Linked DNA regions of Arabidopsis thaliana. The protein of the gene in region 3 interacts with the protein of the main gene of each other region in a pairwise test. Each region holds a gene or a part of one and is shown on either strand. Other genes may lie near its edges.

Region 1 (6,103 bases), on a different chromosome or scaffold from region 3:
TAAGGTTTCAAGCCGCAAGGTATTTTTCTCTTTTGATGTAGATTATATATGATCATCTTGTTTCTTGGTTTTCCCCCAAGATACAGAATCAAGGAATTTACTTGCAACGGCAGACATGATTTGAGATTATTTTGCACAATCTGAATATCTACTGTAGCTTTCATCTACCATAACTTCTTCCTTGTACAGGTTTTACAAGAATTGCTAAAAAAGTATGGTGTACCCGAAGACCTGTTTGGAAGAGTTTGTATCATTATAGACAAGGTTCGTAGTCTAAACATCAATATACTACTGCTTTGAAATCAAGGCTACTTCATTTGCTGATATAATTAAATACTCCAGCTTTAGGAATGTTACTGTTGTTACTGATTTTGTCACCCTATTTTTTTTATGTTGCATGCTAAATAGATAGAAAAGATACCAATTGATGAAATAAAAAAGGAACTTGGGTTCACGGGGATATCAGAAGATGCTATTGAACAATTACTGCAAGTGCTTTCTGTGAAGTCCTTGGATGATTTGGAAGGTATGTCCTTCCATTATTTTTCTGGTGAGTCCTTTTCTCCGAAATTTTCTGCTGATAAGAATCTCTAATTTGTATAAGCAGATATAATTGGTGGAGCAGGAGAAGCCATTGCAGATTTGAAACAACTCTTCTCACTTGCTGAAAAGTTTGGTTATTCAGAGTGGATACAGTTTGATGCATCTGTTGTGCGCGGTCTTGCTTATTACACTGGTATCGTCTTCGAGGTTAGATTTTCTCCATACATGGATACTGGTCTATAGTTTTGTAATAGCAACTGATAGACAACGTTTTGTGATAGGGATTTGATCGAAAAGGGAAGCTGCGAGCTATATGTGGTGGTGGGAGATATGATAGGTTACTCTCTACTTATGGAGGTGATGACTTTCCTGCTTGTGGTTTTGGTTTCGGCGATGCTGTAATAGTTGAAGTAAGTTAAATTTGCTTCTGGTCACTATTATAACCCGCAGCGAATAGTTGTGGGTCTCTGAATATCTGGTTCTTATTTTTGCCACTTTCATTTAGTTGCTCAAAGAGAAGGATTTGTTGCCAGAACTGGGACAAGAAGTAGAGAACATAGTGTGTGCGTTGGACAAAGATCTCCAAGGAGCTGCAGCCACAGTTGCAACAGCTCTCAGAGACAAAGGCCAAACCGTTGATTTGGTATTAGAGAGTAAACCGCTGAAATGGGTGTTCAAGAGAGCAGCTCGGGTAAACGCAAGAAGGCTGGTTCTGGTTGGGAAAACAGAGTGGGAAGATGGTTCGGTCAGTGTTAAGGTGTTGTCTTCAGGTGAGCAGTTCCAAGTCAAACTCAGTGACTTAGAGTAGTATCTTAAGGCTTTATTAACATGATGAACCATTGTTTCATTCTCCTTACGGCTTACTATAGTAAAAGAACCAATCATTCAAATCTCTTATTCGTCAAAAGTATTGAATTATTGATTCGGGAATACAATTATGGATCGAATATAATTAAGTAAACATGTTTAAAAAGCTAAATTTGATCTTATTATATTATCAGGGTAAGAATAAGATGCTTGTAGAACTCTTAATTAGGTGTAGTAAACTTCAACAATCAAAGTGTTTATACTAATGATCTTGTATAGATATTATGCTATATACATGTTTCTCTACTGGAGGATGAATATGCGAGAGAAATTTAGTGGAAAACAACTTGTGAAGAGGTGTTGTGTGTTCTAAGAAGAAACCGTGTGGAAATGTATCAAAAGTCTCGCATCATATCACTTTCTCCTTTCCTTGTTTTCTTCTGATTTTTGCTTCCAAACATTTCTCTCTAGTTACCGTACAACCGCGTCCTCAATTCTCATCTTTCCGAGAAACACACACACACACCTCTTCTTGTCTCTCATATGTACGTTACTGCGAGGATGATATGATATATGACAGAAGTTACAAAGATTATACAGAAAATCTATTAAAAAGAGAGCAAGAACGTACAACAAATTGACATTGATTAATTTACAAGGTATATCGTAAGGTACATGCCACTATTTATGTGTTGTTTAGAAGTTGACATGAATTAAGATATATATATATATATATATATATATATATATATATGGTATCCAAACAGTCGTATTTCAATCGGTGATCATATGGAGATAATAAACATAACAACACATATAAAGTTGTAGGTAGTTTCGTTAGTCTTAATTTGTCCAGATAATATTGCGTTCTATACCCTAGTTTGGTCTTTTGTTGGAGAGTGTATGATGTATTTATCACAAGATGGTCCCAGCCAAAACATTCCAAAAATGCCTCCGAAAAAAACAGCAACACATAAAACACCAAGTGGGGATTTGATCTAGTGGGGGAATCTCTTATCCTTCCAAAAAAATGAGGTTATAGAGACACCTAGTTCGATTTTTGATGAGTTATTAAATTATTCGTTGATAAACTTAACGAATAATATCGACTATCCAACCAAGAATATTCTAGATGCATCAAGACTGTGTATGGATAAGTCAGCAAATACATTCATTTGCTCTATCCATATAGAAGATTTAAGTTCACAAAAAAAAAATCTAGAAGACGGCTTAAAAATGCATGAACCGACGTCAAAAAAAAAATATGCACGAACCAGATTTTAATAACTTCGACGACCAATGAGAAAGATAATAAGTTGTTCTAGTAGTCTTCAAATATTGTATTTTGTGGAGGAAAGCACCAAGAACATTCCTTTTCGTAACACTTGACTTTTTCATTTTTCTGAGTCTCCTAAGTGTTACGCGTGACGCGGTGACGCTAATAATCATATTTCCTTACACTTTAGCTTACTTACGCAGCAAGCACAATGGGTATTTTCGTCAATTAATATTAACTAAACTAGATTCTAGTATATAAATAGGAGTACTCATCACACAACACACACAAACTAAAAAACCGATCATAGAAAGGAAAAAAAAAATCAAAACCCTAGAAGTCACTAAGTCGATTCAAAATGGTTGCGAGAAGTGAGGAAATTGTGATAGTGGAAGAAGATACGACTGCGAAATGTTTGATGTTGTTATCAAGAGTCGGAGAATGCGGCGGCGGCTGCGGGGGAGATGAACGTGTTTTCCGATGCAAGACTTGTCTTAAAGAGTTCTCATCGTTTCAAGCTTTGGGAGGTCATCGTGCAAGCCACAAGAAACTTATCAACAGTGACAATCCATCACTTCTTGGATCCTTGTCCAACAAGAAAACTAAAACGTCTCATCCTTGTCCGATATGTGGAGTGAAGTTTCCGATGGGACAAGCTCTTGGTGGTCACATGAGGAGACATAGGAACGAGAAAGTCTCAGGCTCGTTGGTTACACGTTCTTTTCTACCGGAGACGACGACGGTGACGGCTTTGAAGAAATTTAGTAGTGGGAAGAGAGTGGCTTGTTTGGATTTGGACTTAGATTCGATGGAGAGTTTGGTCAATTGGAAGTTGGAGTTGGGAAGAACGATTTCTTGGAGTTAAGTTTTTGGGTTGTATACAGTTTCACATGATTTTGTAATCTTTGTTGATCCAATTATCGTACCGATCGATGTGAATATTATTTTGATACAATATCCGAAATTTCTTTTACGGTTTACTAATTTTTTTGGTTTCTTTAAATTAACCCTTGAAGGTTGAGCTATATCAATGGTTTTAAGTAGTGTAAGAACTATATCATTAGTGTGGTCAACTAGAAAAACAAGAACTCATTGAAGAAGTATAACCAGAGACGAGATTAAGCTATCCAACCTCCCTTGCTCTCTTACAAGAATCGCATATCCAAGGGAAGAAATGCAACTAAGAAATTGTTCTATAAGCTGAACTTAGTTTGGATCATTCTAATATAAGTAGTTATGATTCCTAAATGTTGTCTACGGTTTTTCTTTTTTTTCAGTTTTTTGGCACCCGTTATCTTAAGGTTATCTAGTACTAATATTAAAAGAATTACCAATTATTCAAATCTGTAATCGTCAAACTACATATTGAATCATTGGATTGAGATTCCAATAGTGTAGAAATAATGAAGTTTAAAATTGAACAGTCGAGCTAGCACATATAAATAATCAGGTAAACTTATGTAGTAAACTTCAACAACCAAATGTTTTATACATAATATTTTTGTTAATTATATATATATATATATATATATATATATAATCTTATATGGATGGTATGATAATTGCTATACATATTTATCTAATGGGAGATGAATATGAGAGATAAAACTTTGTGGATTTAATCTTGTGAAGATGTGTGTGGTAAGAAGAAACCGCATGGAAGTGTATCAAAAATGTCGCATCAAATCACTCTCTCATTTTCTTATTTTCTTCTGCTTTGCTTCTTAAAGTTTCTCTCTAGTTTCCATATAACCACTCTTTTCACACTTTCTATTCGTTCCCTTCTCGGCGACTCGTGCGAGAGCCACATATCTCTACTTGTCCCTCATGTACGTTACTGTGAGAAAATCTTATATTGGTTTTTTAGAATGAGACGATCTGAATAAACTATACAGGTAAGTAGCTAACCTATGAGAAAGATTATAAGGTGTGTGTATAAGGAGTATGTGATCGGGGACTTTGAGTTTCTGCCGTGGACGGCCCATCCTCGGACCTCCAGTGAATGGCTTCTAGAGCTAAAAGTCTAGCGCAATTCAGCATTTTCAAGTTGCAGTCACCTTTCTTTTTCAACAAACTTATCTCGAGATAACTCACAATCGTAGTAAAAAAAAAAAAAAATATGTAGTCTAGAATATATTAGGGCTGACACTGATACTTGATAGTTGATACCCGTATTCGATCTTTTACCCGTTTCACAAAAAGGGTAACTGTAACCTTCAGTTCGGTAATGTGTTATAAATCTATTACTCGTGGATAAGGATCGTGTATCGGATATTAATTTCTTTTTAATTATCTGTCATGTTACCCGCTTTACTACGAGATCACTCATAGTTACCCGTTTTATTAGTGTTTTACAATATTACTAAAATTTTATAAATACTTTCTAAAATGAAAGTTAAAATCTATGTTTGTAATTTTATATCTTTTAGAATTGTATGTTGCATATATGTCTTTGTATATGAAATGATTATGCATCTACGAAAAACATTACACATGAATTAGCACAAAATAGATGTACAAAGGTAAAGGGTCGGGTATCACTATTTTTACCGAGTATCTGTAATTTACGGATAAAGTAAAAGTAAAAACAATTAGTACCCATAAAGATCGTATTAAATAAAGGATACCTCAAAATTCAAAAGTACACGTCCCGTGGCCACCCTTAGAAAATATGTACACCATAGTTATTTTCTTTGTTCAGTCGTAATTCAATCGGTGATCTGGAGATATAACAGCATATATATGAAGTTGTAGGTAATTTCGTTGTCTTAAATAGTCCAGATAAAATTCCCTCCTATACCATAGTTTGGTGGAGTATGACGTTTTCTATATACAAAGAGTACGACGTTTTCTAAATATATATTCAGCGGTGGTGGAGAGGTGGTAGCTGACTAATAGCAATGTGTAAAATTTGTTCCTCTTCTAGTTAAATTTTTACTTCTGTTGGATTATTTATCTCTCGATTTTACTTCAAATCTTTAGTTTAATGTGTTTAAATTTGTACCTACAAATTTTTCTATCTACAGATTAATCGAGTTGCTGCCCGAGTTACCACATAAGATGATAAATAATAAAATATTATAAGCATATAATATGAAAAAAAAAATCGAGTTACGTATAGAAATTGTAAGAACATCTACAATGGGAGTATGCAAACAAGATATTTCATGTAAAAATAATAAAAAAAATTGGAAAGAGAAATGAGAAAGAGTTCTTCTTTGATAACCTTTGATATCTAAACAAAAACTCTTATTGACATTTGTCACTCTCTCATTTGTGTATCACTTGTTTTAAAATTAAATTTTAGTTATACAATTAAATTAAACTAAAATAATGATATTTTAATATTGGAGATGCTCTAATTATATAAAAATGAATAATCTATGACTAGTAACTAAATTAGTAGATAAGTTTAACGAATAAAAATATTGACTATCCAACCTAGGAAAAGTTCTATAGATGTAGACTGTGGATAAG
Region 2 (7,368 bases), about 24 Mb from region 3:
GAGAGTGAGTCGCCGGAGAATAAGTCTAACGCGAGTCCGGTTTCGGTTCTTGATCGAGATCTTTATGATTATCTAATCCTTGACGATGATTACTACTTCTCAGGTGAGTCTACGAAATAATATTCAAACATTTTTATCTCTCGAACAAATATTTGAACTTAATTAATTGCTTTTTGAACCTTCTTTGAAATTTTGCGAAAAGAATCATCTCATGTGAGTAGTTTCCTACTTTAACTGCAAATGAGGTAAAAATTTGGTCATTTGGTCAACATTTTAACCGATTCAGTACACTTTATTTGAAATACTAAATAATAAGATTATTCAAAATTTGACCAATATAAGAATTTTCCTTAAACGTTGGATTTATTTGAAAAATGATTAAATTTAACCAATATAAGAACATTTTCGCTTTTAACATTTTTCTTGATTTTACTGTAAAAAAAGCTGCGAAAATGAGACTTTCTCAACATTTTCGAGAAATTTTATTTTTATTTGCCCAATCATATTTTAAACGTCACTTTAATTTGAAAAATAAAACAGGAGGAGATTCAGAAAGTGCATCGGAGTTGTCAACAAAGCAAGTAGAGACAGCAACAAAATCTTCATGTTCTTCATCACCAGCAAAAACAAAAACAAGTACCAAGAAAGAAAACAACAATAGCACCAACAATGATTCAGAAGAGACAGAGTTTATCACAAAACTAATGAATATGCTCTCAGATCTGTCTGAAGAAGACATGAAGTCTTCCACTTGGGTTTCTACTTCGTCAACTAAACCCGTTGACTTTACTCAGGTCGAAGATTTTTGTGTCGAATTTGGTCAAGAGATTCTTGACCTTGTTATGGACCAGCTAGTTGATGAACTCTGTATCTAGTTTAAATTCCCAATTATCAGAAATATGTCGTTTTAAAATCTTGTAATCCAAATGTTAACCAGAGACTCACAACAATCGAAATTTTCATCACTCCATATTTTCTAAAAGTGTTATGCGGCCAATATAAGTTATTGACCAGAAAAATTATGGTTAACATTTATGATTAGTACTAAAGACTATAATGTACTCGTCTTAAATAGTCCTATAGACAAATATACCTATCCAAAACACAAGTATGTATATGGCGAATATCACCAAATAAGCACAAGGATAATCTTAGTGACTCGAATACTCGATCATAAGAATGAAATTAAATTCAAATTCGATATGACGAATTATCAAATGCATTATAAATACATGTAGTGGGTCCAAAAACGGTCAAATCGGTTTTCTTCTGAATTTTGGAGAGCTCCGTAACTTCGAAATACGTACTGTCTCCTTTATGTCTATTTCACATGCAAATCATGGTCTCCTTCTAACGTTACTTCTTTGACGTTTTTTTGTACTTTTCTGTGTTTTTTTTGGGGGGTTCACATGTAAAATTCAAGAACATTTTCCCACTCTAAATTATTTAAGTTTCGAATTATAATTATTTCATTTAGTCATAAACTATTTTTTTGCCAACGAAAAAGTGGTAAATATTGAAGGTCCTTGTATTCGAACTGGTGACCTCACAGAGTTGGTCACACGGCTCTATACAATTGAGCTGACGCGGCGTATTAGTAATACGTGTTTTTTAAAATGAACGGATATATTAGTGTGAACGCGTTATAACACGGTTTCATGTTTTCGGTATTTTTATCTGTTGGTAGCTGTCTTGCAAGAGAAGAAAAGAATAAAAATAACAAATTCTTTCTTTACAATTTACTTATGAACAAAATAAGTTTTATATATCACACAAATAACGCGGTGAAGTAATGTGGGACAAATGTGAATTGAAAGTTTTGGAATAAAGACTTTTGTTTAATTCTTGTTTATCGCCTGATTAATCGTTATGAAATATTCTTATTAACAGAATAAAGTAGCTAAAAGTATTCAACCAATTTGGTTTTGGACACCTATAACTATGAACAATATAATTCAAACTAGCATATCTAATTAATATCTATACAATTGTTTTATGCATGTACGTAAACTATTAAATGATTTATTAATTCTTATTCTTATCGTTTAGTTAATTCACATGTTACCTTATATTATATTTAGTAATTGCCTGCTCGTTTTACTCCCTCTCTATTTATTTTTCTTCCTCTAATATTGAAGGTTTATTTTTCTCCACCAGGATTTTTTTTGTTTTTAGAAGGATAAATTCATTTTCATACCACGATAACATATATCAAAATTTGAACATTTATCTTTCTTTTTGGAAATTTCAATAGTTCATATAAATATTATAAAACAAACATTAATTTAGATATATTATCTAAATTGATTTGCCTAACAAATTAACTAGCTAATTAACTTATGCTTAACACAAATAATGAGAACTTAGAAACCTTGATTATGATGATCATCATTATGATCTCTATTAAGCCTATTAAGCAAAGCATCGATGAGAGAATCTCTCTTCTGAGCCCTAGCTTCTTCTCTCAACCGTCTCTCTTCCTCTCTCTCCATCCACCTCCTTTCTGTGGCGGCTCTTTCCTCCTCTAGCTCCGCCATTCTCCTCCGCCACTCTTTCTCTCTCTTCTCCCTCTCTATCTCCTTCATCTCCCATGCATCTCTCCATTCCTTTTCCATCTTCACCGTTTGCCTCATAAACTCCTCCAATATATCTTTTAGTGTATTACCCGCAGTTTCAGCTTTCGTACCACTCGCAACGCCTTTTCCTTTTTTTGCACGTTTTCTTGGATTGGTCGAAGTACTAGTAGTAATCACTTCTGTCTCTCTTTTCTGTGTCTCTACTAAAGACAATAATTCCTCGTTGATATCTTGATTTGGTTCGTCAACTTCTTCTTCTTCATCATCAGATGAAAATTGATGATGTTTTCTCTTCGAGGAAGTGCTTGGTTCTGTGGCTTCTGACCACAGCATTCTTTGCATTCTTGCTTCAAAAATCGACTGAATCTCATTGTAGAATGGGAACTGCTGCCTAATAGCATCTGGCTCAGTGGTCTCACACGCCTGTCCCATGAATATTCATTATGTTATATAAACAATTATATGTAAACACGTAATAGTACCGACGCAAAATATTTTAGCTAACCAAGTATCTTAACTCGAAATCATATATCATAGGAAAACAAAAACACATGTTCATCATCTATATCACGTTTCTTTTACCTTAAATAAATGTGTGTATAGACTTTTTCAACTATCTTCATGTGTTCATCAGTAACGGTTCTTATTAAATCTTATGCACCCGTTATATAACGGTAATTATATTTTTATGGCATATTGTGTTACTTACTTACCATGTGATCAACGAACAAAAAGAGAGATATTATGGTATAACGGATCAAAATGTGAACATAGACAATATCATGATGAAAGCTCACCAATAAACGCGTAAAATTCTATTCTATAGCTCGTTACCATTAATGACAGGACAATATCTAAAAAACCTAGGCGATTAGGTTAAGCTCATTAATTGATGTATATATAATGTAGTTCACCTATACATACACCATAAACTAGGTTTCCATTTCAATATGCATAATATCAGTCTAACCACACAAACTAGTGATGAAATACATGATACACATAATTATAGTTTGTATATACTTGTAATCATGATCATACTAAACATTTATAGGTGTATATATCGGGACTATATATAGAGAGAATCATCAATAGGATTCTAAAGAGTTGAAGGGTAACCTTGTATCTAGTGACGAGGTTCTTCCACTTGCTCTTACATTGTTCTGCGCTTCGGACAAAACCCTTGTCGGCCATCTTAGCAGCCACGACTTCCCAAAGAAGCTTATTACGTTTGGTCTCCATGAAAGTTTGATCAAGTTCTTCTCTTATAGCCAAAAGCTCCTTTGTCTCCTCTATGCTCCACTGTGGGATTCTCTCCCCACCTCCTCCTCCTCCGCCGGGATCCATCGTCGCCGTGGTGCTCAGCGGCGGCGGAGGAAGCTGTTGCTGTTGGATCAAGTGATGATGAAGCTGATGGTGGTGGTGGTGATGTTGGAAAGGGTTACGTCGGTCCATTATTTGGAATCGAATTGTCTTTGTGACGTGAAGAGAAGAAATAAGAGGGAGATAATTTTATTTTTTTGTTGGGTTACTTATAAATGAAGAGAGGTTTCATTGAAAAAAAGAAGAGAAGACAGAGAGGAAGGAGAGAAAAGAGAAGAATCTAATTAATTTATAAGGATGTGTGAAAAGAAGGTGTGAAATCGTAGAGGGACGATAGAAGTGTAGTTTTTTGTTCTTTTCTCTAATTAAAATTATTAAGATGAGATTTTTTAATAATTATTGAATATACTAGAACTTATAGAATTATTTAGTTGAATAAAATACGAACACGAATGACTCTTTTGGTGAAAAGGACACAATTCGTGATTACATTAAAAATAATAAAGCTTAGATATCCCTTTTTCGGATGATAAACTCTAGATTTAAAGCAGCTAACTAAATAATTCATACTTTTTTTTTCTTCGTATTCTAGAGTTTAAAAATAGCAATCTCAAACAATTACAGGGGTAACTTGCATCAGTTAAGAATATCTTAAGTAAAAACAATCGCCTTAATCTTAGAGTAAAATCAAACAATATGTTTTTTTTTGACAGATTGATTATTTGTGTGCATCATTCTAAACACGCTTTCAAATTTGTAAAGTTGTAGAACTATATTTTTACTGTATGGTTATTGTTTTTCCTTGATGATGATTTTGTGACCAAGCTCAAGTACTCAACTGTCTCGTATTTTTTGCATTTGGTAGTTATTCGTTAATAATTTGTCCCAATACATATAAATGTTGCGTTAATATTTCGTCACGCTTACGAGTTACGAGTCACAATCCGATTTTTATTCTTCAATCCGATTTAGCCTTTATGGTCAATTGACCCACTAGATTTTCCTCATCCCATAATTCTTGTATTTTTCTTTTGAAAAATTCATCGTAACAAAAGTAACCTAATGGTTGACAGACAAAATATATTAAATAAGCTATTGGATCAATATGCTTTTAGAAGTTTAGATTAGCCCCGTGTCATGGAGGAAGAGATCAGATATAAACAAAGAATTAGAGAATTGTTGTTAGCAAGTTTTACATAATAGATACCTAACGTTCCTATCAAAATAAAAAAGAAGAAGAATTAAGTTACAGAAAACAAGACTACCGTTATGATTAGCTAAGAAATTAATTTGATTGGAATTGTAAATTCCCCCAAGAAAAAAAGAAGACTATTCATTTATGGATTGTATGATATTTAGTATATGAATAAATGGAAATCGTTATATTCGCAGTCGGCACAAAACAAATAATGCGTACGAACAGAGAAAATGTACTCTTGTTCTGAAATGGTTTGGATCCAGTGCAATATACAACTGTCAGATTCCCAAACACACATATGGTAGTACATATTTAGAAGCCGCGTCATTGCAATGATATAACAAGTAAAACGTACGGTGAATGAAACTTGTAGGAGTAAATATTTTTTATTTGTATCTAAAGAAAGATTCGTCGGGGTTGTATTTTTGGCTCTGATATGTGTAAGAAATACTAGTACTACTCAGTAGTAAAAAAAAAAACAAAAAAAAGTCAGCGAAGTGGTCCAAATAGCGATGAAGCGTGTTGAAAGTAAATCAAAATCTTACATGACATGCACTAGACTTCGCTCCCACCTGTCATCCCACGTGGATTCACACCTTATTTATTTATACTAAATTAATAATAATGTCGACTACTCTAGTGAATGATCTTTAATTTTTCTAATTCTTATGTTCAAAATTTGTGGTCTTTAATTATTTAAAAGAGAAATTGTGAATGAAGGAATTTTCTGTGAACAAAAGAAAGAATAATCAGTATTTTTTAATTTTATTTAAATGGAATCAAATAATCAGCAACGCGGAGTGTTGTTATATTCCACGTGTAAACGCCCACCATGTTTGTCCACGTGGCCATCTCTCTCTCTGTCTTTCACTTTTTATTTTAACAAAGATTTTTGTTGGCTGATGTTTATCCGCTCAATACAAGTAGGCCACCTCATCATCCTTTTTATTTCCCATCCAAATTTTTGCTTAAAAGAATTGAAGTCTTAAAGCAAAGAACAAAAAAAAAACGTCAGCCAAAAGCATATATACAAAAATCAGCCTATTCGTGTTATTTAGAACTTTTGAGGTGAATGTTGTTTAGGGTATCGCTCCGGATTATTCGGAAATAGTAATAAGTTTAGTCTTTTACTTTTGCCGTAACTTGGTGAATGCACATGACTTCCATTTTTGAATTTGGAGTCACTGCAACAATACATTGTTGTTACAAATACCAAAAACCTTTCTCACTGTTTGTAATACTGCTGGTTTTGAACCAAGACCATGAAAATGATATTTCAGTTGATTGCAGAAACTCTTCTTGTTCTTGAAAACATTCAAATATTTGACTAAACTAAACTCGATCTGTGTTTATTTTTTTGAATCTATAAATCATACTAACTTTATGAATGAATATTACTAATTCGTACATGTGGAGATATGCAAGTAATTTGCCTAACCAGAACAATCAAAGAGGAACATACATTAGTCTGTTTTTTCTTCTTCTTATTATTTGACAAGTAACAACAATTATTCCATGTCAACATCAGCACGTGAGGGTTGAAAAGATTTTAGTGAAGGAATTAAACGGGACAAGGTCAAGAAGATTGAAGAATGTGAGAAAAACGTAGAGATTTGGATTTTTTAATCAACAAAAGAAAAAGGTTCTTCAAATTTCGCTACTATGATTAATCAATTTGAATTACATTTTGACATATTGTTAAACGTTGATTTAGTCTTTCCAAATCTGTTGACAATGTTTACTATTAAACAAATATTGAAGCTTTTAGCAAAGAGATATAAGGAGAGACTTTACTTCACTAGTCGTCAGTCATTACTAACTAAACCGGCATCATTTGGTGGTATGTATTTCCCTTAAAAACCTTACCAAAATGCAACCAAAATAAATTAAAAAAACCATAAGCACATATTCTGCTTCTAAAAGATTCCAAAAAAGCTAGCAGATTGAAAAAACTGAAACGAGATGCTTCAATCTTTGGACATTCAAGGTGATAACATCCGCTTGATCCCTGATTTCTGCTCAGTGGTTAGCTTCGAAGGGAACTTGATGATGAATCTGATTCTCAAGTTTCCTTTTCTTGACGGATCTTTAGGGATCGGCATGCCTTCTCCTTTCACCACCTCTTCGTACGACGGACTGATCACATTGTTTACCGGAACTGTTAAGGTTCTTCCGTCAAGAGTAGTGACCTGTGCGGTGTAACCTGTGAGAGCATCCACTAGAGAAATCTTTTGCATTACCACAAGATCATTCCCGTCTCGTTTGAAAACG
Region 3 (9,321 bases):
AATAGTACCTTTGTGTATTAACAACTAAATTTATAACTCAATATAAGGGATGTAATGCTTTCTTAATAAATTGACCATATTATCAAAAGTTAAAAACAAACGAAAAGAAAAGTTCCTCAACTATTTTTCTTCTCTTTTTGTTTGCAAGTTGCAACCAATGAAAATAGATAGACAAATCGTAATGATGGCAACTGATTACCATCTTAAAGACTAGAAACACAAATACAATTGATTGACATAGAAATAAACCACGGTTTGCATCTTTATTATGATCAGACAAGCATTAAATTTTATTGACTGCATTGATAAGTCAATAACTTCAATTGTTTTGCCCGCCTTGAAGGCTAAGATTATGCAAGGAGGAAAAAGACAGATAAACAAAATGTTGCACAAGTGAAAATCAAAAAGCTTTTGAAAACAATGATCTAAAATTAGTCTGAAACGAACAATGGCAGCTCCGAATCTATACCAGAACTGAAAAAATGCCAGCTTGAATCATGGAATGCTGCAAAATAATCATCTGATTCCGTCTCAATAGCAAACTCGCTTGTGACTCTTTGTGCAGCTATGATTCGTTTGGTAGCACAGATGACTTCTGCGTCAAATGAAACTTGCTCCTCATACATCTGAAAGCTGTTCCCAAACAATGCGATTTTCGACAGTCGATCCATTCTCCAATTTGCTTGCAATAGGTTGCTGTATAGATTGGCCTCACAGTGTGGCATGAAGAAAAGAGTAGGCTTTAAAGCTTCCCTACGAGCTTGCTCATTCACAGATAGAACACTGCATCCCAAAGATTCTAGGTAACTAGATTCAGTTGCAGAGAGAACTGGGTCAAACACTTCAATGTTATCACCAACCCAATCAAACTCTCTCTTCATCAAGATTGCAATGCTCAGCTGAAACCTCGGAGATTCATAAGACTCAATGCTACCTATACCGTACATCACCATCTGCAACTGTGTTTCAGACCCTAACACGAGGCGAATCTGATTCGAAACCTCAGGAGACTTAAGCTGCTCCAAGAATGCTGTGTAAAAACTCGAGCTTTCGATTTTCTTCAGAGAGATTTCCATCTTCTGCTTTAGTCTTGCTTGTCTCTGTGGATCAATTTCAAGATCATCTGATTTCCATGGTTGCTCTTCTTCTTCTGCTTGACCTTTAGGTTTCGGTTTTCTTCTTCTTCCTTGTCTTCCTTTACTAGGTAAGACTACTTTCCACTCACCATCACTGCTTGAGTTTTTAACAGTCGTTTCCATTGAAGCTTCCACAAGAAACTGGTTTTCCTGATCTACTTACTCCACAGTCCCCCAAAATTAGGGTTTCTACTCAATGCAATGATTCCATTGGTTCCGATTACCTAACATCACAATAAATTTCGATTCCTAAACCTAATTATCAATCTCTTTGCTTAACTCTGATCTATCTACTTTGAGATTGACAAAAATCTTCGATACCGAGCAAAATTAAACTTACGATTAGAGACGAAAACACAGGAGGAAGATCGAAGAAGCTTGCTTGAAATACAGAGGAAGCAAAGAACGCTTCGAATATGTGGTGACCGAGTGGACTCAGTGAGACATTTGTGAGTTTGGTGCGCCGAGTCGCGCGGCGATAAAGTGAATCAGATGATTTGTACGCGAAGATTTGGTAAACAGGTATTGGGCTAGAGGAAATGGAATGGGTCTAGATACGGCCCAATAAAGGCGCGAGATAGAGACAACTGAAGTCTTGTTTCCTGTTATTTCTTTTGATTTTGTTTTACTAATCTAAATATACTAAATCAGCAGTCAATTTTCCAATAACTGATGCATTCAGTGATTGACACATCAGCTTAGTACTACTTTTTTATTTTTTCATTTTTACGCATAGTATGTGTCGTTTTTATTTAACTTTGTTTCATTCTCAAACGATTTTCTCTTTCATCCCCACGATCTCCACATCTCCACTTTCTCTCTTCCAAAAACTCCATGACTACTGTGTAAAATCTCAAAGATGGGTTTCTCAACATCATTAATCGATTACTCAGAAATCAGGTACTTTGTTCATCTCAATGAACCAATTTACCATCTTCTATTTTTGTTTGTAATTTTGTTTTATATATATAGAATTCTCCATAGATCCGAAAATCATATATCCTTCTTCTAGATTTCTATGGCTTTTTTTTTTTTTTGCTTTGTTTCTGCTTTATTTGACTGAATTCGATTTCTCTCATACATCTCCATTTTTCCATAGGATTATTCTTTAATACAATCAATGCCTATGATTCTCCCGTCTCACAAACACTCAAAGAACAACGACAAATTTTGGCTTCTCATCTGAACAGTTGCCTTAAAACAAGGGTGAGTTTAATATCTTAATCGAAGCTCAAGTGTTTTTTTAATGGTAAATTAATTCTCATACTTTTTACTATTCTTCTTTCATCTCTTATTTTACTTCTTTATATTTGCAATTTCTTTTTTGTATTAAACCGCAATTGTATTTTCACGCAAGATTTTTGTATTAATACAAATACTTCAATTTTAAAGTCATCTCTTATTTTACTTCTTTATATCTGCAATATCTTTGATATTGTTTCAAAGGCAGCGTCTGCGTTATGTAGTTACTTACTTGTGCACATTTTACATTTTTTTTTAGACTTCCAAGCTTTGGGTGTCAACGAATGTTTGTAAACTGAATTACTGATGATGAGAAGAAGAACACATTACAATTGGTTGGAGCTAATGATGAAATAAGCGGACATGTATATACCCAGCATAATTTTCGTACTTATACTCTCTTATATTTCTAAACTCTTGATTTGTTAGTTACTGTCTATCGCAATTGATTCATTGGGTAGAAAAGTTGTACCTTCTTTATATCTTTTTCTTAATCTTTGTATATTCTTCAGTCAATGATAATAAATTTGTTGTATATTTATGCTGTCTGCTTTATTTTAAAAATCTTAGTTAAGAGTTGTAGCAGATATAATTTAAAACAATGTTGTCCCTGCATAGTAGGGGCCAAATGCTAGTAGTAGTTTAAAAGTAAAGTACGTAAAATAAAATAACGTGTATTTTTCATTATAGGAAATGTAGTTTAGGCCGTTATTGTTCTTTTTCATTATAAAATAACGTGTATTTTATGTGTTGCTGTTTAACCCTAAACTCAGACAGCGAATGTTGAGTTCCGATGCAGTGGTGTATGGTTTGCGGATACAGTAAAACTTTTATAAATTAATAATATTAGAATTGCGAAATTTTGTTAATTTAAACAAATATTAATTTATAGAGAAATTTTTTAAATTTAATAATTGTTTTAAAAATTGAACTCTTTTCGTAGCCCAAACCCACCGGTATTGAACTCTTTTTGGCCCACTTAGCCACGTTAAAGGGTCACTTGTTACTAGTTGTAATTGCAACTATCTGCCTAAACCGTCGTGCCTTTTGTCTACATTCTAGAACCATGCACTAATGACGTGGCTGGAGATAAGTTGGTTGATTACACACGTGTCACTTAGACAGAGCGAGTAGACTTTGATGCGGGTAAAAGATATTTTAGATTATCTAGCTCGCTAGGCCACGTTGGCGGATATTTGCACTTTTTCTTTTTTTAAAAAGAAAAAAAACTAGGCTCTACGAATTTTCCGGTCACCTTCTCCGATCTCTGATCCGATATTTTTCCACATGTTGTTGAGCTTTAAAGGATTTGAAACCGTTATGAAAGTTATGAAAACGAAGAGTGTGTGAAACATGGGGAAGGAAGTTATGGTGAGCGATTACGGTGACGACGACGGAGAAGACGCCGGCGGCGGCGATGAATATAGGATTCCGGAATGGGAAATTGGTTTACCCAACGGAGATGATTTGACTCCGTTATCTCAATATCTAGTCCCGTCGATTCTCGCGTTAGCTTTCAGCATGATCCCAGAACGAAGCCGTACAATTCACGACGTCAATCGCGCGTCGCAAATCACGCTCTCTTCGTTGAGAAGCAGTACCAATGCTTCGTCTGTGATGGAGGAGGTCGTGGATCGAGTTGAATCGAGTGTTCCAGGATCAGATCCGAAGAAACAGAAGAAATCGGATGGTGGTGAAGCAGCGGCGGTGGAGGATTCCACGGCGGAGGAAGGAGACTCCGGGCCTGAAGACGCGTCTGGGAAGACATCGAAACGACCGCGTTTAGTGTGGACACCGCAGCTACACAAGAGATTTGTGGACGTTGTGGCTCATCTAGGGATTAAAAACGCAGTGCCGAAGACGATTATGCAGCTGATGAACGTGGAAGGACTTACTCGTGAGAACGTTGCGTCTCATTTGCAGAAATATAGGCTTTACCTTAAACGGATTCAAGGATTGACGACGGAAGAAGATCCTTATTCGTCGTCGGATCAGCTCTTCTCTTCAACGCCGGTTCCTCCACAGAGCTTTCAAGACGGCGGAGGAAGTAACGGAAAGTTGGGGGTTCCGGTTCCGGTTCCGTCGATGGTGCCTATTCCAGGCTATGGGAATCAAATGGGTATGCAAGGATATTATCAACAGTATAGTAACCATGGCAATGAATCAAACCAATATATGATGCAGCAGAATAAGTTTGGAACAATGGTGACATATCCTTCTGTTGGTGGTGGTGACGTGAATGACAAGTAAATGGATCTTAAAGGTCTATAATTTGCTCTACAGAGAGATACTGGTGAGCTTGTTTTCGTCTTCTTCTTTGAGATTCTTATTCTTTGATGTTTGTTCATGTTACTAGCAAAGTGTTACAATTTTCTTGGTAGAGTGTTATGGTCAAATCCTAGTTTGGTGTTGTTATATATTTACTCTGTCTTTGCAAGTAGTTGATCTTAATTGATTCTTGTTACAGGTTCTTGGCTTATGGTTTATTTTCCCACTTCATGAGGTTGTTGTGACTTTTAATTCTCCATGTTTTCCACACAAGTCTTTATTGCCTTTGTATAGAAAATGATTTCGAGAAAATCACTGGGAAGCTTGGTATTGTTGGAGGATGAAGCCTTCTATGAATGATTTAGTTTCCTACTGTCTCCATTCTTTATGAGGTAATAAAGCCTTCTTTTGCTCATCGCTTGTAGTCTTCTTAAATTCAAGACAGCGTCACATGTTTGTTCGGTTATGTTAATTGTTTCTTTCTTTGGATAATGAAGATAGCATCAGGTCTCATGTCTCCTCACTTTGATAAATATCTCTTTCATTTATCATTTTCTTCTATTAAAATAGTTTTTCTCTTTCTTAAGAAAAGTATCTTTTGATTGTGTTGGATGGTCATACACCAATTAACTCCCAACCACAAGGAAGAAAGTGACATTTCAACCATAAGCTCGTGTTTCTTTGCCCACAATGAGTTAGTAGTTTTAGCCTTTTAGCCATATAGTTTTCATTTGGTAAATAATCTGTTAAGATCTTTAAATCTGCAAACTAGATGAGAATCCATAGAATATTTCTGTGACCAATGTAGAGTCGCCATTAGAAGATCACTTTTCACCTCTCTGTTTTGTTTCATTCAAAAGATGTTTCTCTAACGTTATCTTCATATTACTTCTTTGTGGGTCACTCGTGTCTCCTCTACCCTTCCTAAACTTACAACAACTGACTCAAACTGTCCTTGAAATTTCCAATGCGCCAGTCTTTTCATGGGACTTAGTTGAGCTGTTTAGTTTGGTGACAGTGAAATATTATTAAAGTAACCTAAATGAAAGTTTCAAGTGGTTGAAACGTGGCCTCAGCAACTGTAATGGAGAAGCCCAAGCTCTTTATCTCTTATCATGTGAACAATGATTTTGTCTATAAATGCAGAAACTCTTTTATTTTTAGATACAACTGCCAAAACATTACTCTAAAAATAGAAACCATCTCCTTTTATGCCATTTGATTCATGATGATTATAAAGAATCTCTTCTGATACAGTTTTGACTTCAAAACAGGGACTACATGAAATTCATCATTTTTAAGGAATTGACAAAGTTGTCTAATGAGCTGAATGAGGAACCTCTACTCTTGACAGAGGCTTGAAGCTTCTCTTTCAAGTTGATAACTCTCTTCCTCATTTCTGCTCCTTCTTCATCCATAATCAATCTCTCTACAGCTCTCTCCACTGTTCCTTTATCCAGCTCTCCTTCCAATTGAACCCCAATTCTCCAAACTCTCTCTAAGTACCTCGCATTGACTTTCTGATCTCCCGTAAAAGGCCTACAGATCATCGGAACTCCTTCCCCGATGCTCTCTAGGGTCGAGTTCCATCCGCAGTGACTCCAAAACCCTCCCACTGCAGGATGTCTGAGAACTTCTATCTGTGGTGCCCATTTCACAATGTAACCTCTTTCTGAAACCAACCTACTGAATTCCTCCGGTAAAGACTCTGTCCATTCCGAGCCGGGAATAGAACCCGGTCGGATCACCCATAAGAAAGGTTGGTTGCTATTACGTAAACCCCAAGCCATCTCCAACATGTCTTTAGTTTCCATTAGAGCCAAGCTTCCCAAACTTATGTAAATCACTGAGCCTATTTTTTGCTTGTTCAACCACTCAAGGCAACTCCTGTCCTCTTCAAGTAAACTAGAAGGCGCTGAAGCTGCAATGTGAAGTGGGCCTATAGGATACACTGGAACTTGCAGTTGTTTTTGTAACCATGCCAAAGATGAGCTCTCTAGACAGCTTGTTGAGTTGATGATAACTGCCGAAGCTGTTCGAATGTTGACAGTCTCACTGTAAACCTTGAGTATACTCTCTAATGGCCCAAATGCTGAAGTTGGCAGGTCCTTGTACCTTAGCGGATGCAACCCTGGAAATTCCTTGTCTGACACTTTGGGATCTGCAAAGCAAACAACAGCATTTGGATTGGTTTATATACCTAAATGCACTTTTAAAGTTTGAGTTAACAAGCTAAAAAATCTTGAGTACCTTTCATGTCAAGCAAGAATGACTCTGCGTTGACTCTAGACAAAACAGAGCGACAGACAAAGGCAGTAGCACTTGTCGTGCTGAAGAGGACGCTAGGAAGTTGAAACTCTTTAACTGCAGCTTGGGAGAAGTACATGTACTCATCGTAGACGACACAAGCGATATCATTACCTTGCTCCTGCAATAGTTGACCAATACATTGCTTGAAGCTTGCCTCGCAAATTTGATTGAGCTTGAAGAGAAACTTGAATGGTCCAAGGTTTTTGAGATCAGACTCGGTCAAGCTGCCTGGGATGGTGAGGAAATGAAAATCAGAGAAGTCCTTGGATGAGCTAACTCGATTATACTGTGTGAGAACAACAGTGATGGAGAAGCCCTTGGAGTAAAGAGCCTTCCCGAGTTGCATAATCGGAGTTACATGACCTTGTGCTGGAACTGGAACCAATACTATCCTTCTCTTCACTCCTAGTTCTTCCATTGTTTTTCTCTCTTGGAGTCTTGGTCTCTCTCTTTTTTTGGTCAATGTGTGAATGGAAAAATCTCAAAGACACATAAGGATGCTTAAATGCTTGAACCAGATCTAATTAATATGAAATATAGCACGTGGGATATATATTAACTGTTTCATTGGTCTCATCGACATGTTATTTATTTTTATCCCTAAGTGGAAAATTATGAGGTTAGGGAAAGATCTCAACATTGTGGAAGGAAGGACATACCACAAGAAAAAGCACGTGGAGTATATAAACTAGACAAAGAATTCCCAAAGTTACAAGGAAGTGACAAATTTGGTGACTAGCACCATTTAAGGCTTCCTTTTGTCATTTTCTTTATTAAGTTTGTTGTCTTGTTTTGGACCATTTTTCTAATTAAGTCTACCTCTATCATTTATTTACTTATTTTCCCTCTTGCTTAAGGTTAACATATAATTTCATGTCTGAACATAACAACTAGCACACTCGTTTAAATTATGTCGACGTACGTACACCTTAGAATTTCATTTCTGAACATGACATCTAACCACTGTAGCTGCCGCGTTGCCGTAATTCGGATTCATAACTTTGTAGTGTGGATGTATAGACGCGGCAAAAGACAAAGGATTTTGTATTTTTGTAGTTTACTTGACCAACATGTTATTTATCTAACTTCCTTCAAACCGTTGTTTTCTTATCAAACAAGATCATTACTTTTGATAGTAACAAAACCGTGATCTTCTAGTCCACCGAGTAGCCGTGGATCTCCTGCCCTGCTTCATATTCACAAGTGAGGTACAAGCAGGCAAAATGCTAGTAATCGTTGTTGAATTTGGATATAATATTCATGAGCCAACATCTGTTTAAAAGCATCAAGAGCTTTCTCATTCTGAAAATTATGTACAAGGACTTAAATAGTATAATTCTAAGACACAACCTCTGGCTTGTGACCATCAAAACGAGTTCGATTAAAGTAACTCAAAAGTAGTTGAGTTGGCGACAAAGTGAAATTAATTGGAGTAACTTAAAAGGGTTCAAGTAAAAATAGTTGATTTGGTATGGTGTCAAAGTGAAAATAATTTGCAGTAACTTTAAGAGTTCAAGTAAAAAATAGTTGAGCTGTTTGGTATAGTGACAAAGTGAAAATAATTGATGTAACTTCGAGGGTTTAAGTGATTGAATTTGGTCTAAGAAACTGTAATGGAGAAGCACAACATCTTTTATCTCTTATCCTGTTTGAGAGTAACTTAAAATAATGCTTCTGTATCCAAATGCAGAAACTCCTTTTTTTTTTTTTTGACAACAACGTAAAAATTCTTATTATAGAGACAACTTCCAAATATTACACTTAAAATAGAATTCATGTCCTGTATATCATCTTGATGCACTTTCGACTTTGACTAGGGACCTTATTTTTTTCTTTTTTTGCTAAGAGACTAGGGACTATCTTATCTCCCTTCATCATCTTCACATGGAATTAACAAAGTCGTCTAGTGAGCTGCATGAGGAACCTCCACTTCTAACAGAGGTTTCAATCTTTTCTTTCAAGTCAATGGCTCTCTTCCTCATTTCTGCTCCTTCTTCATCCACAAGCAACCACTCTACAGCTCTCTCCACAGTTTCTTTATCCAGATCTCCCTCCAATTGAACCCCAATTCTCCAAACTCTCTCTAAGTACCTCGCATTGACTTTCTGATCCCCGGTGAAAGGCCTACATATCATCGGAACTCCTTCCCCGATGCTCTCTACTGTTGAGTTCCATCCACAGTGACTCCAAAACCCTCCTACTGCAGGATGTCTGAGAACTTCCATCTGCGGAGCCCATTTCACAATGTAACCTCTTTCTGAAACCAACCTATTGAATTCCTCTGGTAAGGACTCTGTCCATTCTGACCCCGGAATAGAGCCCGGTCTGACCACCCATAAGAAAGGTTGGTTGCTATTACTTAATC

The links.
Region 1: the proteins of BOA (region 3) and ZAT7 interact in a two-hybrid assay, tested with the Arabidopsis thaliana proteins (one large-scale study listed by BioGRID).
Region 2: the proteins of BOA (region 3) and AT5G01380 interact in a two-hybrid assay, tested with the Arabidopsis thaliana proteins (one large-scale study listed by BioGRID).

What each region holds. Positions count from the first base shown.
Region 1 is NC_003074.8:16,923,692-16,929,794, reverse strand, and holds ZAT7 (C2H2 and C2HC zinc fingers superfamily protein), read left to right. Parts: upstream 1-2,911; 5' UTR 2,912-2,984; coding exon 2,985-3,491; 3' UTR 3,492-3,914; downstream 3,915-6,103. Other genes in the region: HRS1 (Histidyl-tRNA synthetase 1), read left to right, coding at 1-19, 190-264, 409-526, 608-750, 825-953, 1,049-1,351; AT3G46086 (uncharacterized protein), read left to right, coding at 4,537-4,653.
Region 2 is NC_003076.8:153,421-160,788, forward strand, and holds AT5G01380 (Homeodomain-like superfamily protein), read right to left. Parts: upstream 4,182-7,368; 5' UTR 4,032-4,181; coding exon 3,696-4,031; intron 3,000-3,695; coding exon 2,364-2,999; 3' UTR 2,190-2,363; downstream 1-2,189. Other genes in the region: ACI1 (ALC-interacting protein 1), read left to right, coding at 1-103, 541-875; AT5G01390 (DNAJ heat shock family protein), read right to left, coding at 7,080-7,368. UniProt on the Arabidopsis thaliana protein: Probable transcription factor that binds specifically to the core DNA sequence 5'-GTTAC-3'.
Region 3 is NC_003076.8:24,000,316-24,009,636, forward strand, and holds BOA (Homeodomain-like superfamily protein), read left to right. Parts: upstream 1-3,572; 5' UTR 3,573-3,731; coding exon 3,732-4,628; 3' UTR 4,629-4,671; intron 4,672-4,845; 3' UTR 4,846-5,038; exon of another isoform or gene 5,039-5,920; 3' UTR 5,921-5,923; coding exon of another isoform or gene 5,924-6,807; 3' UTR 6,808-6,896; coding exon of another isoform or gene 6,897-7,374; 3' UTR 7,375-7,529; downstream 7,530-9,321. Other genes in the region: SRR1 (sensitivity to red light reduced protein (SRR1)), read right to left, coding at 432-1,259; UGT76E1 (UDP-glucosyl transferase 76E1), read right to left, coding at 5,924-6,807, 6,897-7,374; UGT76E2 (UDP-glucosyl transferase 76E2), read right to left, coding at 8,837-9,321. UniProt on the Arabidopsis thaliana protein: Transcription factor that is a critical component of the regulatory circuit of the circadian clock. Binds to specific sites on CCA1 promoter leading to CCA1 activation.